3 linked regions of the Kluyveromyces lactis genome follow. The protein of the gene in region 1 interacts with the protein of each later gene in a pairwise test. Links are inferred from orthologs where the notes say so. Each region holds a gene or a part of one and is shown on either strand. Other genes may lie near its edges. The genes, in order: HRT1, YAK1 and KLLA0_D13838g.

Region 1 (3,286 bases):
GTTCTCCTCTTTGCCCGTTTAGGCCCTACACTCTCTGCACGAGTTATTCCGATCGCTAATTCTTTTTTTGGGTCTTTTTTATAATGCGTAGTGTGGTGTAAGGGAATTGTAGGATTTCTTCCTGTGGAATTAGTTTCTCCGATCCGCCATACCTGAAATCGAAGAGAAATCGGCAATTCTACCCCATTCTGGGAAGACAAAAGAAAAAGGACTTCGCGAGTCATGTAGAGCACGTGACTTGTATTTTAAACTTACTAGGTCTTCGTTACATAATCAGCGTCAGAGAGTTGGTATTAGGACTTTTAGAAATAATGAGCATTAGCTTCGTCCGACATCTTGCTATTAAATTTGTCTTCCCCCTTTGCTTGCATTGGGAGAAAGTTTGCTGATTTTCTTATTCTGTATACCTTATTCGGCGGCTAAATTTCGAATTAAATCTCTCAAGCAGCCGAACTTATGAAAGTTTAATTAAACATCTTGATACCAAAGTCTTCGTTTTTAGAGATCGCCTTAACAACTGGTATGCTGGGATATATATCACAGTTGAGCCAGCTTGGATTCCACTTCATCACAGACTTTATTGATGTGTTCCATTTCCTTGCGTTTATGTTCCAATTGTTCTTCAAATAACATGATTAGCGATTCACGACTTTGGTGCGGTCTATATTCGTTAAGAAGATGGTGAATATTGATGGCTATCACCCTTATCTCGTCAAGTTTTTTCTCATATCTACTTGAATCCACTCCCAATATTCCTATAAGCTCTAGGAAATTTAGTAATAGTGATTTCATTAGTTTTTTCGACTCTTGGATCTTGTTCTCGTAATTTGTCCCACTTTGCGAATCTTGAGGACTAGGTTCAACTTCTGTTGTGGTCCCGTTTTCCAATTCCGTGACAGATTCCCGTTTCCTATATAATTGTTCAATTCCCATCTGTGATAACTCCGGTAGTTCATCCTTAATTTTCCATACATTACCAAATGCTCTGTATGAACCATCCCTGGGTAGTTCTGGCTTCACAAAATATTTCAACTGCTCCCTCTGTTTTGTTGTACATTTCGCTAGTTTTTCTTCATCTTTGCCACATTCTCTAAATAGTTTTGAGTTCTCTTCGGTGAAAAATTGAATGAACGGTGGTGGTGGAGGATACAATGATGATACTTCGTTCTTGTCACTCATGGTCCTTTATATTTTAGCTTCTGACTGGCAGTATTGTCTCTCACTTTCACAATCACTTTCAAAAAAATCTTTTATTGAGAGGGATTTCAATACTTTAAAGGACGGTCGAGGTTCCAGTTTATCTTGAATCTGGACAGATTATGGCCACGGAGGTCTAACACAGGTCTGATATCGCCAACACGCTTTCCTGTGTTCACTGATTTATCACTTGTTTCTGTTTGTGCTGGTTACTATAAGTTGGATTTCCATTTCATGTACAATTTCACATCCGGGTAACAAATGTTTGTATTCACGTGATATGAATATCACTCTTGTCTCTCTTTCAACATGAATTCTAATGTTTCTGAACGTTTGGGCAGTTACGAAAGTCCATAGATCCCATTATAGTCCACAGGGTATATCTTTTGTCATTCATAAGACTACTCTATTCGATCATTAATAGTTTAAAAAAAGGTTTTCACACCCGCGTTTCCAAGGATTGAACGACAGTTAGACCTGGGACTTAGAACGTCTGTTTGTAATCTGTTTTAAAGAAGGAAGGATTTATATTTACCAATAGTAGCTGATCGTTAGGAGATGGCCACGGATTTGGGACCAATAGAGGCACAGAGCGGGACAGAGGGTGCTACTGAGTCAAAGCCCAATTTTGAGATAACGAAATGGACAGCGGTAGCTTTTTGGTCATGGGATATTGACGTTGATAATTGTGCCATTTGCAGAAATCATATTATGGAACCATGTGTAAATTGTCAGCAGGAAGCAACTTTCAACTCGGAGCATGAATGTGTAGCCGCCTGGGGTGAGTGCAACCACGCATTCCACCTACATTGTATTACCCAATGGATCAAGAGCAGAAATGTTTGTCCGTTGGATAATAAACCTTGGAAATTGGCTCGGTGTGGCAAGTGAAGATAGAGTGTTAAGCCTACAAAGATGCATTATCGAAATTTAATATCGCTATTGGACTGTTCGAACCGCAAAAAATGTTACTCAATTTAGATTTCCAATGATTTAATACCAAGCGGATAGTGTGGATTTAATATCTACCATTGGGAAGAAGCTTAGATAATCTGGCTTCTGTGTATATATAGTTACGTAACGAGCTTCTAATGGAATTATCGACAGGTTCGATCGGTCCCAAAACAATAGACAGGACAGCGTTGTTCCATGAATACAACTAGGATGCGTACATTCCTCTTCGATTGCTTCGTTTTTAAGATCAGTATTTGCATTTTGTTTCTAAACATAATGCATATATCATGGGATTTGGTAATACAGTGCGTTTCGGTAGAATTTACCCCAGTGAATCCATTTTGCGCAGTTTTCGTCAAACCTTTTCGCCAGAAGTTCGTAATCAGTACCGTAATTGCCATAAAACTCAATAAAGAAGCAATATTGCCATTTTCTTTCTGATTGCACTTGATTATGGAATGGTCTCGAACTGATTGAGCACATATTCAACTTATACTCCCTCAAGACATTTAATACATCTATTAAGGAACCTGGATCATCTTGATTTATCACGAAGGTGACAAAGTTTACTTTCATTTCATCGCCTTTAGGTGGGAGAGCTTGGCTGCCAATTTCGCTAGATTCGTCACGCCTTTTCAAGATCAAGAACCTTGTCGTATTTCCATTGACATCATTGATACCGCCTTCCACAATCGTAGCTTTATTTAGTGATGCACTCGCACGGCTTCCAATTGCTAGAGTTATTTTTCTATCAGTGGCATATTCAGCTATGCATCTTTCCACAGCCCCCGCAGTCGAACTGCAGTCGATCTTGGCGGTCTTACCGTATTTTGTTTCAAGATCACTGAGATAGTCTTTTACTTGGCCCCAAACTTGTGGATGTGAATATATAACATCAACCTTTCTTAATTGTTCTTCTGAGAGCGGTACTGGTGAAATCAAGCAATGGGCAATGTCGACGTATTGTTCACCAACAACCTCAACACTTGGACTTAAATCTGCTTGCATAAAATCTCTGAAAAGATCGTACGTGAAAACAACTTGACCGTTGGTGGAGTTTTCGAGAGGAACTACCCCGTAGTCCATATCTATGTCTGAAATGAGCTTTTCGAAACATGCAGGGATAGATGTCACC
Region 2 (5,168 bases), on another chromosome or scaffold:
TGATCATTCCAGTTGAGAGAGATTCTATCATTCAAGAAAGAGAGAATGCCACAATATTGATGTTATGCCGGAATTGGGAGATACCAGGTGTTTTGCAATCTATGCGCTCATTGGAAGATAGGTTCAATAGACGGTATAAATATGACTGGACGTTTCTCAATGATGTCCCATTCGATGATTACTTCATTGAAGCCACCAGTGCTATGGCTAGCGGTAAAACAAAGTACGGATTGATACCTAGTGAAGATTGGGACCGCCCAGCTTGGATAGATGAAGAATTATTCGAGGAAAGGCTGCAGATGCTAAAGGAAAAGAAGGTAATATACGGAGACTCGAAATCGTATCGTAATATGTGTCGTTTCAATAGTGGGTTCTTTTTCAGACAAAAGCTTTTGGACCAATATGATTACTATTTTAGAGTCGAACCTGATGTGGAATACTTCTGCGATTTCCCATATGATCCATTCAAAGTCATGCGGGAGAAGAAGAAGAAATACGGATTTGTGATATCTATCTTTGAATATGAGGATACGGTAACGACATTATGGGATGCTGTTGAGGAATTCATGGATACTTATCCAGAAATTCTACATCCTAACAACAGTCTAAGCTTTTTGACGGATACCACGATGGTGGGACGTTTTTTCCCTGTTGTTGATTCGAATACAGACTATAATCTATGTCATTTCTGGTCCAATTTCGAAATTGGAGATCTAAATTTCTTTAGAAGTGACGAGTATCTTCAGTATTTCAATTACTTGGACTCCAAGGGTGGGTTTTATTATGAACGTTGGGGTGATGCACCCGTGCACAGTATAGGTGCCTCATTACTTCTAGACAAGAATGAAATCCACCACTTTGATGAAATTGGATACAGCCATGTTCCATTTGAAACATGTCCCACGTCCATATCAGCACGATTAGTGCTCCGTTGTATGTGTGATCCTAACGGCGAATCTAATATTCCCATCCACCCAAACAGTTGCTTGATGAGATGGTGGAAAAACGGTGCCGGCAAACTATTTATTAGATGATGGAGCAGAGGTGAAACCGGGGATATATATAAGATATAGTACATAGGTTTTAGTATAAAGTTTCCAAATTCGATAATTCCTTTAGGATTCTTTCTAGATCTTCGTCAGATATCTTGGTTCCTAAACTTGGAATTAGAGTCTTGGCTTCATCTGCATCTTCGCACGATAGAGAACCCAATTGCGCCACTTCGAATGGATGCAACCCTGTGGATGATAAAAGCTGTGATACAGCGGTTACTGTTTCCTGATCACGGAAACGTGAAAAATTCGTTAGGTATATCATGGTCTGCTTCAACGCTTGATTCTGTCCACCAGTGGTCTGTTCAAGCAATCTATCTATATCCTGTAACTCTTTCTCCTGTGTTTGGGTATGCACATTGACGTTATCTTCATCATCCATGTCATCGTCCTTATTTGATGCACCATTGCTTGCCCATGTCTTGAATAATTTCCGACGGTTCTGTAGCGTTTCCTTTATAATCAAACGAGACTCACTCAAATTTAAAGCCACTAGGTTTTCCTCCTGCCCCTGATGGTTGATTTGCTTCAAATTAAACTCTTCTCCCAAGTGTAAAGTGGCAGCATTCTCTTCTTCAACAAACTTCTTCAACCCACGTCTCTTGGTTTGAACAGTGGATGTAGATGTATTCATGGTAAATTCGAGCTGTTATCTATAAGAGCGGTCCAAAAAAGTAGACGAGTGTAATCACAAAAAGTGCTATTCCAGTAATCAGCCACTTTGACAACGGTACAACTTAGATAAATGTAACTCCAGTTGATGTTTCGAGTGACAAAGTTAGTTTACCTCTCGTTTTAATCGTAATTGAATTTCCATTTTTTTTCCTAACGGTAATTATGCGAAAACTCAACATCAGAATATTGGCCCTATGACTTCATGACATGAATGTTCTCTGTATTTAAGGTATTAAAGTGAATCTTGGCAAAGCTGTTTGTTTGTACAGGACACCAGGGCTTATTTTTAGGGCAGCGCTGTATGTACTTGGTACTCATCGTGATTAGGTATAGCCAGATTCGAATTTAGCTGTTTTTTAATATAGGAAGGCGTACATTCTTTAGCTGGTTTTGTTTCTGTTACTGTTTTGCTATAAGTTCTTTAAGCGAAACTCAGGGTTATTCAGTCGATATAACGTTTAAAAGGTATTTCCGTTGAAACTTTGAGTTGTGAATTGGTCATTTCTTTGTTGGAAGAGAGGCTTTTCTAATATTTTGCTGCAATAACGTGGTTAGACGTTGACTATAATCTGATATATAATAAATGGGGGATAAGAATAGCCTTTGGAACCCTGCGTTCATGGCTTCTCAGCAGGGAGCGTCGAGTTCGAATCAGAACCAGAACTTTTCTCAGACGCAGGCAAATACCCAGAATCAGGGCCCAGAGATTGCGCCTGATGGGCCAGCTGGGAGTAGCTCCAATGCAGGCGGGAATATATATGCAGGGCAGCAACAAGGCGGAAATGCGGCTGGTGGTTTCCAAATGCAGTCGCCACGTCAATCGATATTCAAAAACCCATGGCAAGAGATTCCCCAGATACCTGAGTCTCAGAGGTCTACTATGAGGAAGCAATCCAACTTCCCCTTGCCCACTACTTACGAAGAAGATAACGCTGTAGATGAATCCTCACAACAGTTCAGAAGGAGAAACTCATCTTTAGTAATACCACCTGCGCGTGCGGCAGGGCCTGATCCGTTCCTTTATGAGAAGCAACCGTTTCCCAACTATAATGATGCACAAAGAAGGCAGTCGGTTGCTGTCACTGGTGGCAGTCAACTTTCGCCACAGCAGGTAACGAAACCATCTCAGCTTAGGAAACCTGGAATTAATACTGCGGGATATATGGCTGGCTCCATAAATTCTTCTGTGTATCCCGCTACTGCAGGTGCATACATGAGCACGCGTGGCGGCTCAAGTTCACTTCCGTCGTCAAGGCCACCTTCTCCAATAATTATTGTCCCTAAATTCAACAAGATATTTACGAGACAGGACTTGAATCCCGTTATACATTCCACACCGAAATATAGACGTGCTTCATTAAGCAGCAAGACGGTCTCGCCGTTGATGGCTCTAACTAAGTCGTTAACTACCACTTATTCATTGTGTAATGACGATTTTGCATATCAGACATCAAAGAACCCGAAAAGAGTGCTAACAAAACCAAATGAGGGGAAATATAACAATGGACATGATAATGTCAACAGTGACTACATCCTTTACGTTAATGATGTGTTGGGGGTTGAACACAACAGAAAATATTTGGTCTTGGACCTTTTGGGTCAAGGAACTTTTGGTCAAGTTGTGAAATGTCAAAACTTAATAACAAAAGAGATTCTAGCAGTGAAAGTTGTGAAATCTAAATCAGAATATTTGAATCAGTCAGTCACTGAGGCTAAAGTTTTGGAATTATTGAACAGACAAATTGATCCTAATAATGAACATCACTTCTTAAGGTTGCATGACACGTTTGTGCATAAGCATCATTTGTGTCTTGTTTTCGAATTGTTGAGTAACAATTTATATGAATTGTTGAAGTTGAATGAATTCCATGGGTTGAGCATGACACTTATTAAAACATTTTCAAAGCAATTATTGGATTCACTATGTGTCTTGAAGGACAGTAAGTTGATCCATTGTGATTTGAAACCGGAGAATATATTGTTGGTAAGCAACGATCGACCTGATTTAAAAGTCATTGATTTTGGATCTGCATGTGAGGAAACACGTACCATTTACACATACATTCAATCAAGATTCTATAGAGCTCCAGAAGTTCTTTTGGGGATTCCTTATTCTACCGGGATAGATATGTGGTCCTTTGGTTGTATCGTTGCAGAATTGTTTCTTGGTATACCTATCTTTCCCGGTAATTCTGAGTTTGATCAAGTTACAAGAATCGTGGAATCTTTGGGGATGCCACCTGCATGGATGTGTGATATGGGTAAAAACTCTAAGAAATATTTCCATAAGATGAATACCACTGTTGAGAAAAAATTTAGAATGAAAACCATTGATGAGTTTAACTTGGAGTTTGCTGCTAACGAAGAGTCAGTGAAGAGATACGTGAAACATATATTGTTCGATGATATAATTCGTAACGCAAGAATTTCGAAAAGGATTTCTGGGAATCCAGCACTTGTTGAAAGAGAAATAAAGAACAGGGACTGCTTGTTACATTTTTTGAGAGGAGTGTTGAACCTCAATCCACTCGAACGTTGGACCCCACAACAGGCCATTTTGCATCCCTTCATCACAGAAGAACCTTTCACAGGGGAGTGGTACCCACCGGGTACCATTCCAAAGAAATCACAAACAGCTCGTAATCCTTCATTACAATTCGACTCTGTAGCGTTGGACAAGTTACAACTTGGCGACTAATGTAAGCAAACACATATGTAGCATTTTGACTTGATATTTTGTATAATACCGATCTAATTAACCGAATAAAATAGGTTCTTAATTCCATTCACACCGCAGTTCAGTCCATCTCTCAATATTAAATGTGATATTTTCAGAAATATATATGATATTTATGTACATGGGTTTAATATTCCTTTCGTTAAGAGATATATAGTCATTAAGTTACTCTGATGCAATGGATAGAGAAACAAGAAGAAGAGAAGCGTATGGTACAGCGCAGCAACCGCACGAAACAAGTTTAGAAAATGGGAAGTCTGATTATTCTTCCGATCTTCAAGCTTGCATTGGTTGATCTGGCAAAGGTGGGGCCATTGGCTTTGCTTGCCAAGCAGCGTATCTTTGGAACATCAAACCAACACCTTCAATGACACCAAGTAAACATGCACAAGTGATAGCTGAGTTTCTGGTATGCTTCCAACCTCCTCTGATAGCCAAAGCACCACCGGTGAAGAAACCGGCAATAATAGCATTCCATGGATCTTCTCTTTTCCTCACGGCCTTAACACCACAGTCAAAAGTAGAAAACAAACCACCCCATACACCGAAGTTACCACCGACAACTGGTGCTCTGGCCTTAATTGCACTGACAGCACCAGCTCTTCTTTCACCTAGTGGAGAGTTACGGAAACCCTTGATACCATGCCAAACACAACCACCAATGACACCCATAGCAAAGGCACCACCGAAATCGTTAAGAATCA
Region 3 (4,575 bases), on another chromosome or scaffold:
TAGCTGACTGTTAAACACAGCATGATACTTCTTGTCATTATAGGAGTTGATCTCACTCAGAAGTTTCTTTTCCCAGAAAGTCTTGATGTAAGGGTCTGTGGCGAGCATGTGGCCAGGTGATAACTCGACTATCTCTTCCAAACCAATGACATATAGATCAGGGGACTCGTTTTCAGGTTTTAACCATCCCTCGAGTTTCTCTTTCGAAAGTTTCCCATTCACATTAAATGTTCCCGCAAAGATGGATATTTCCTTTTCGAACGTATATTCGTGTCTTCTTTGTCTTAGAAATCTGGTCACATATATATGCAATGGATCATATAACGCAACGATTGCACTTGGATCAAAAAGACCGCGGTAAATCTTCTTATATTTAGAAGGATTCTTGGAGTGCTTGCTATTAAGCCTCTCTAACCAGAAATCGTTGCTTTTCCATAAAGAGTCATGCGATTTCCAAAAGTCTGAAGAAATGTCTTTCTCTTCCAATTCATTGATGGTCAATTCCAATACGTCGGCGCTGATAACTTTCTCCACAATATTTAGCTTCTTGAAAAGATTCACGGCACTAATCCTGAAGACACCAGTCTGTTTACCGACGTAAATTTTCTTATCCATATCGTATGCAAACGATCCGAACTCGTATATCTTTTGTTGTAAAAGATATATTATCCTGTGCGGAATTCTGTTCAACGCACTGGTAGAGTCTTCTATCAAAGTTAAATCAATACCCTTTGATGAAGCGCATTTTTGGTAAGTGTTTATCATTGCTTCGTAAGCATCGTTCTTTGGTTTCGAAACATTGACTATGCTGACAACACCGTACTTCGACATTAATTCGTCAAAATGGAGGTCAAAAGAAGGTTGTACAGTGCTTGCCTTTGATAACAACTTCGGTTTTTTACCATGGAGGAATTGACCTTCTACTAGTTCCCAATTCAATGGTATATCACCACCAGTCATTGTATAAGAAAAGACGTTTCGTCTCGTTTGAACTATGATTTCCGTTTCGACAAAATTAGAAACCTTTCCGCTCTGATCAATTCCCTTGAATTCTGATAGATTATTCATACCTTCCGTTGATATTCTCGATATTAGAGTGCAGGATGATGATATACCATCAGTTATCGTTTGACAAAATCCTCTTACTAGGAATACCAGAAAGGATCCTGAATCAAAATACGGTCGCTCTTGAACTGCGATTCTAGATCGCAGCTGTACGATTTCGGAAATTTGGTTATAATTCCAGACATAACGCTGATCCTGGTTATCTATGGTATACTCAATTCTATGCACCAATCCTCTCTCTTGTAAACTGTTAGTGATATCAAAATCATTGGAATAATAAAATGACCCATCACTGATAAGCATTTTTAGATGCCCACATGGATGTTCAGTCAACTGTCTTTCATAGCCTATATCAGAGAGATCTTGAAACATTGAGTCGTATTTATCACTGTCTATGCAATAGAAATTAATGTTCAATATTTGATAGATGGTTTCCTCCTCTATTACCTTATCCTGCTCATTTAGTTTCCATCTGGGAGATCCGACCTTTTTGTTACTTGTGATAATCCCAATAAACACTTGACCCTTAACAGTGATCAATCCGAACAATGCAGTAAATGTTGTGTGGTTCAATTGTGTGTATGGCTCCGTATCAAAAGCGCTTTCTAACACTGATTGCACTGTGACCTTAGGTGAACCGCCCTTCAGGAATGATGACGTACTATTTTGTCTTTTCTCAAAAATAAGCACATATCCATTCGAAACTAGAGCAATAGCTCTAGGACTTTTCCGTAGATATACTTTCATATCTATCTTCTTTTATTAGCCATCTACTGATAAGTTCCTGGGTTCTATGCAGTACTCTTTACTTCCAATTATCCTTAATATTTCGGTAGACATTCTTATACCTTTTTATGTTTTTATCTTGGCTGAAATGTTTATTTTTAATCCTTTAAAATCGATTGACTTGCCATCAATTAAAAGATGAAAAAAGCTCCATAATTACTAAGAAAATGTCGATCTTTCAGAAAGTCCGATAGACATTTGGGCTCGCAATTTAGGGACCATTTGATTCAGGAATCAATTCAGTTTTTAACATAAAAAGTTGCTTGGTGAAAGGGTCCGTTTGGGGTTGGTAATGGTTGATACTAGTGCTAAAAATCCACTGCTAAATCAGAATAAGAATTTCTTGGAGTTGTGTTTTGCTTGTAGGATAGGCGATGTTGAGAATGCAGATCGATTAATTTCTACTGGAGTTAATGTCAACGGTGTAGATGAGTTTGACAATTCGCCATTATTTTTAGCCAGCTTATGTGGTCATGAAGATGTTGTAAATTTGTTACTACGAAGAGGTTCTGTTTGCGATAGAGATAGATACGAAGGTGCTAGATGCATTTATGGTGCCTTGACTGATTCCATTCGTAACATTTTACTAAAATACGATATATCTAAGGCAGTTGATGTCAAGCAACCGTTTGCCTCGCACCTTTCATCGTTAATGAATGATGATATTGTTAATAATTTTGACTTCCAGTTCACTTTTGATGACGATCTGCAAATTCCTGCTCATAAGTTTATACTGGCGGCACGATCAAGTTATTTCAGGCAGAAATTCAGTGGTCCATGGGCAACATTGAAATCCAAGAGAATGCCTACCGGATCAGATATAGAGGCGTTCCGTTCAATATTGAAGTTCATTTATTTAGTACCTGTCTTACATGAATTAAAGCAAGACCAATTAAAACATATCCACCTCCTATCTATGAAGTCGGGATTTCCGGATCTCCTATCGTACCTTGATAAAACCATGCACGTATCTGACCCATCAGAGAGGGCAAGCTTGATGAATGAGTACCAGTATAAATTCAACACTGATGCCCGAGACCAATTAGAAGCTTATGTCAATGAAAACATATTTAACAATGGGATACTACTTACTAGTGGAGAGGTTAAGGATAGACATTTAAAAACCCTGAGAGATCTACCACCATTTGGTGACTTGGTCTTAAAAGTTACCACAAGTGAGGGACAAGATTATTTTTATATGTGTCATAAATCTATCTTGGTGAGATCCAATTTCTTCAAATTGATGTTTTCCTCATCTTTCCAAGAAGCCACTTCAGAGGTTCCAATTGTTTCGTTATCGGTGGTTAATTTATCTGTGGCCGAAGTTGTTCTTTCCTATTTATATTATGATTCAACAGATATACCCTGGGAGATTGCCATTGATGTATTACGAACCAGCGATTTCATTTTAACGGATAGATTGAAAACGATGGCAGCGGTGACCATAACCCAGAGTAAGGAATTTTTAACAAAATATTCAATCTTCGACGTCCTCGATGTAGCCTGGAGCTGCTCTGTGGAACGGTTAGAGCACCATGCTGCAAAAGTAATTGCTTACGACATCGAAAACTATATAAATGATTCACTTTTATCGGACGCCATTATTCAAAGTTCAAAAAGGATCAAAAGTCGTCAAGATACAGATACTGTTGAATTAGTAGATGATATCAGATTCTACTTATTGGAAAAGTATGATTTACAAGCGGACATTTTGGAGTTATTGGACACTGAAGACGATATAGATTTCTTGAAGAAGTCTGGCCTTTTAGAATATAAAAAGGATATAGATTTGCTTGAAAGTCTATTAATTGAACTCGGGTTTGACATTTGATCAGTTACGATATTTACATTCGACCATGATATATAAAAATAAAGTCCTTTACTACAATCAATCATTTGATATGAGTTTCCGGTAACCATTCATTTGAATTACTAGCTCTGTTTTGTTTTTTGACGGGTTGTTTCGTAGTCTTGAAGCTGAAGCCAAAGACATAGTAGGAAATCGCGGCAACAAGCCCTAGCAAGAACAGTTGGATAGACAAAAACTGGGGGTTGAATATTGACAATGGAGGAGGAACAACCTGAATAGAAATAGGAGATGCACCCACTTTCATTTGTTCGCCGTCTTTGTCAACGTAGATGTGAGGTAAGACGTACAGAATGCCTTCCGGTAAATCAATTGGTAATTTCTGCAGTAAACGAGCACTCTCGTTTATTGCCACATGAACTGGGCTGAAATCAGTTCTTGGAATATCAGCAATAATTTGGCTACTTCCCATATCAATGATGCTTCCTCCAAATGCATACACATTCACGTCTGCATCCTCGCTATTTGTAAAATTGTAAGAGAAGGAAAGCGACTTACCATTTTCTACCTCGATCAGACCGGATGATATTCTGCCATCCTCTTCTAACACATCGTATTCAATCAAAAAGTTAGCAATTTTAGGTTCTTGTTGGTGTGGCTCGTCCTCTGAGCCGATATCAGCAGAAGCAGCATCGCTATCGTATTCCACAGGAATATCATTATGTATTCTGAGATTATGTTCTAAGTCGGCATAAACACCACTTAGCGCCGAGAAAATTAGAGCAACCTTTAAAAATTTCATTTCCCTTGTACTTTATGAACCCTATAATCAATTGAAGAGACTCGATTGCTGGTAATTGTAATATGTAAACTTCAATCTTCCATTATAAATGTAACTCACTTAAAAATAAACCTTA

What was found.
Region 2: the proteins of HRT1 (region 1) and YAK1 interact in binary tests that used the Saccharomyces cerevisiae proteins (3 or more experiments, as listed by UniProt). The link is inferred for Kluyveromyces lactis from reciprocal best matches to the Saccharomyces cerevisiae genes HRT1 and YAK1.
Region 3: the proteins of HRT1 (region 1) and KLLA0_D13838g interact in binary tests that used the Saccharomyces cerevisiae proteins (3 or more experiments, as listed by UniProt). The link is inferred for Kluyveromyces lactis from reciprocal best matches to the Saccharomyces cerevisiae genes HRT1 and YIL001W.

Annotation. Positions count from the first base shown.
Region 1 is NC_006041.1:649,719-653,004, forward strand, and holds HRT1 (SCF ubiquitin ligase complex subunit HRT1), read left to right. Parts: upstream 1-1,755; coding exon 1,756-2,088; downstream 2,089-3,286. Other genes in the region: mediator complex subunit MED7, read right to left, coding at 538-1,179; prephenate dehydratase PHA2, read right to left, coding at 2,437-3,286. UniProt on the Saccharomyces cerevisiae protein: Core component of multiple cullin-RING-based E3 ubiquitin-protein ligase complexes (CRLs), which mediate the ubiquitination of target proteins.
Region 2 is NC_006037.1:539,235-544,402, forward strand, and holds YAK1 (serine/threonine protein kinase YAK1), read left to right. Parts: upstream 1-2,310; coding exon 2,311-4,425; downstream 4,426-5,168. Other genes in the region: KLLA0_A05775g (glycosyltransferase family 15 protein), read left to right, coding at 1-1,034; DNA-directed RNA polymerase II subunit RPB4, read right to left, coding at 1,084-1,686; protein transporter TIM17, read right to left, coding at 4,741-5,168. UniProt on the Saccharomyces cerevisiae protein: Negative regulator of the cell cycle acting downstream of the cAMP-dependent protein kinase. Part of a glucose-sensing system involved in growth control in response to glucose availability. Phosphorylates POP2.
Region 3 is NC_006040.1:1,188,164-1,192,738, reverse strand, and holds KLLA0_D13838g (uncharacterized protein), read left to right. Parts: upstream 1-2,143; coding exon 2,144-3,682; downstream 3,683-4,575. Other genes in the region: phosphoinositide 5-phosphatase INP51, read right to left, coding at 1-1,812; IRC22 (Irc22p), read right to left, coding at 3,744-4,460.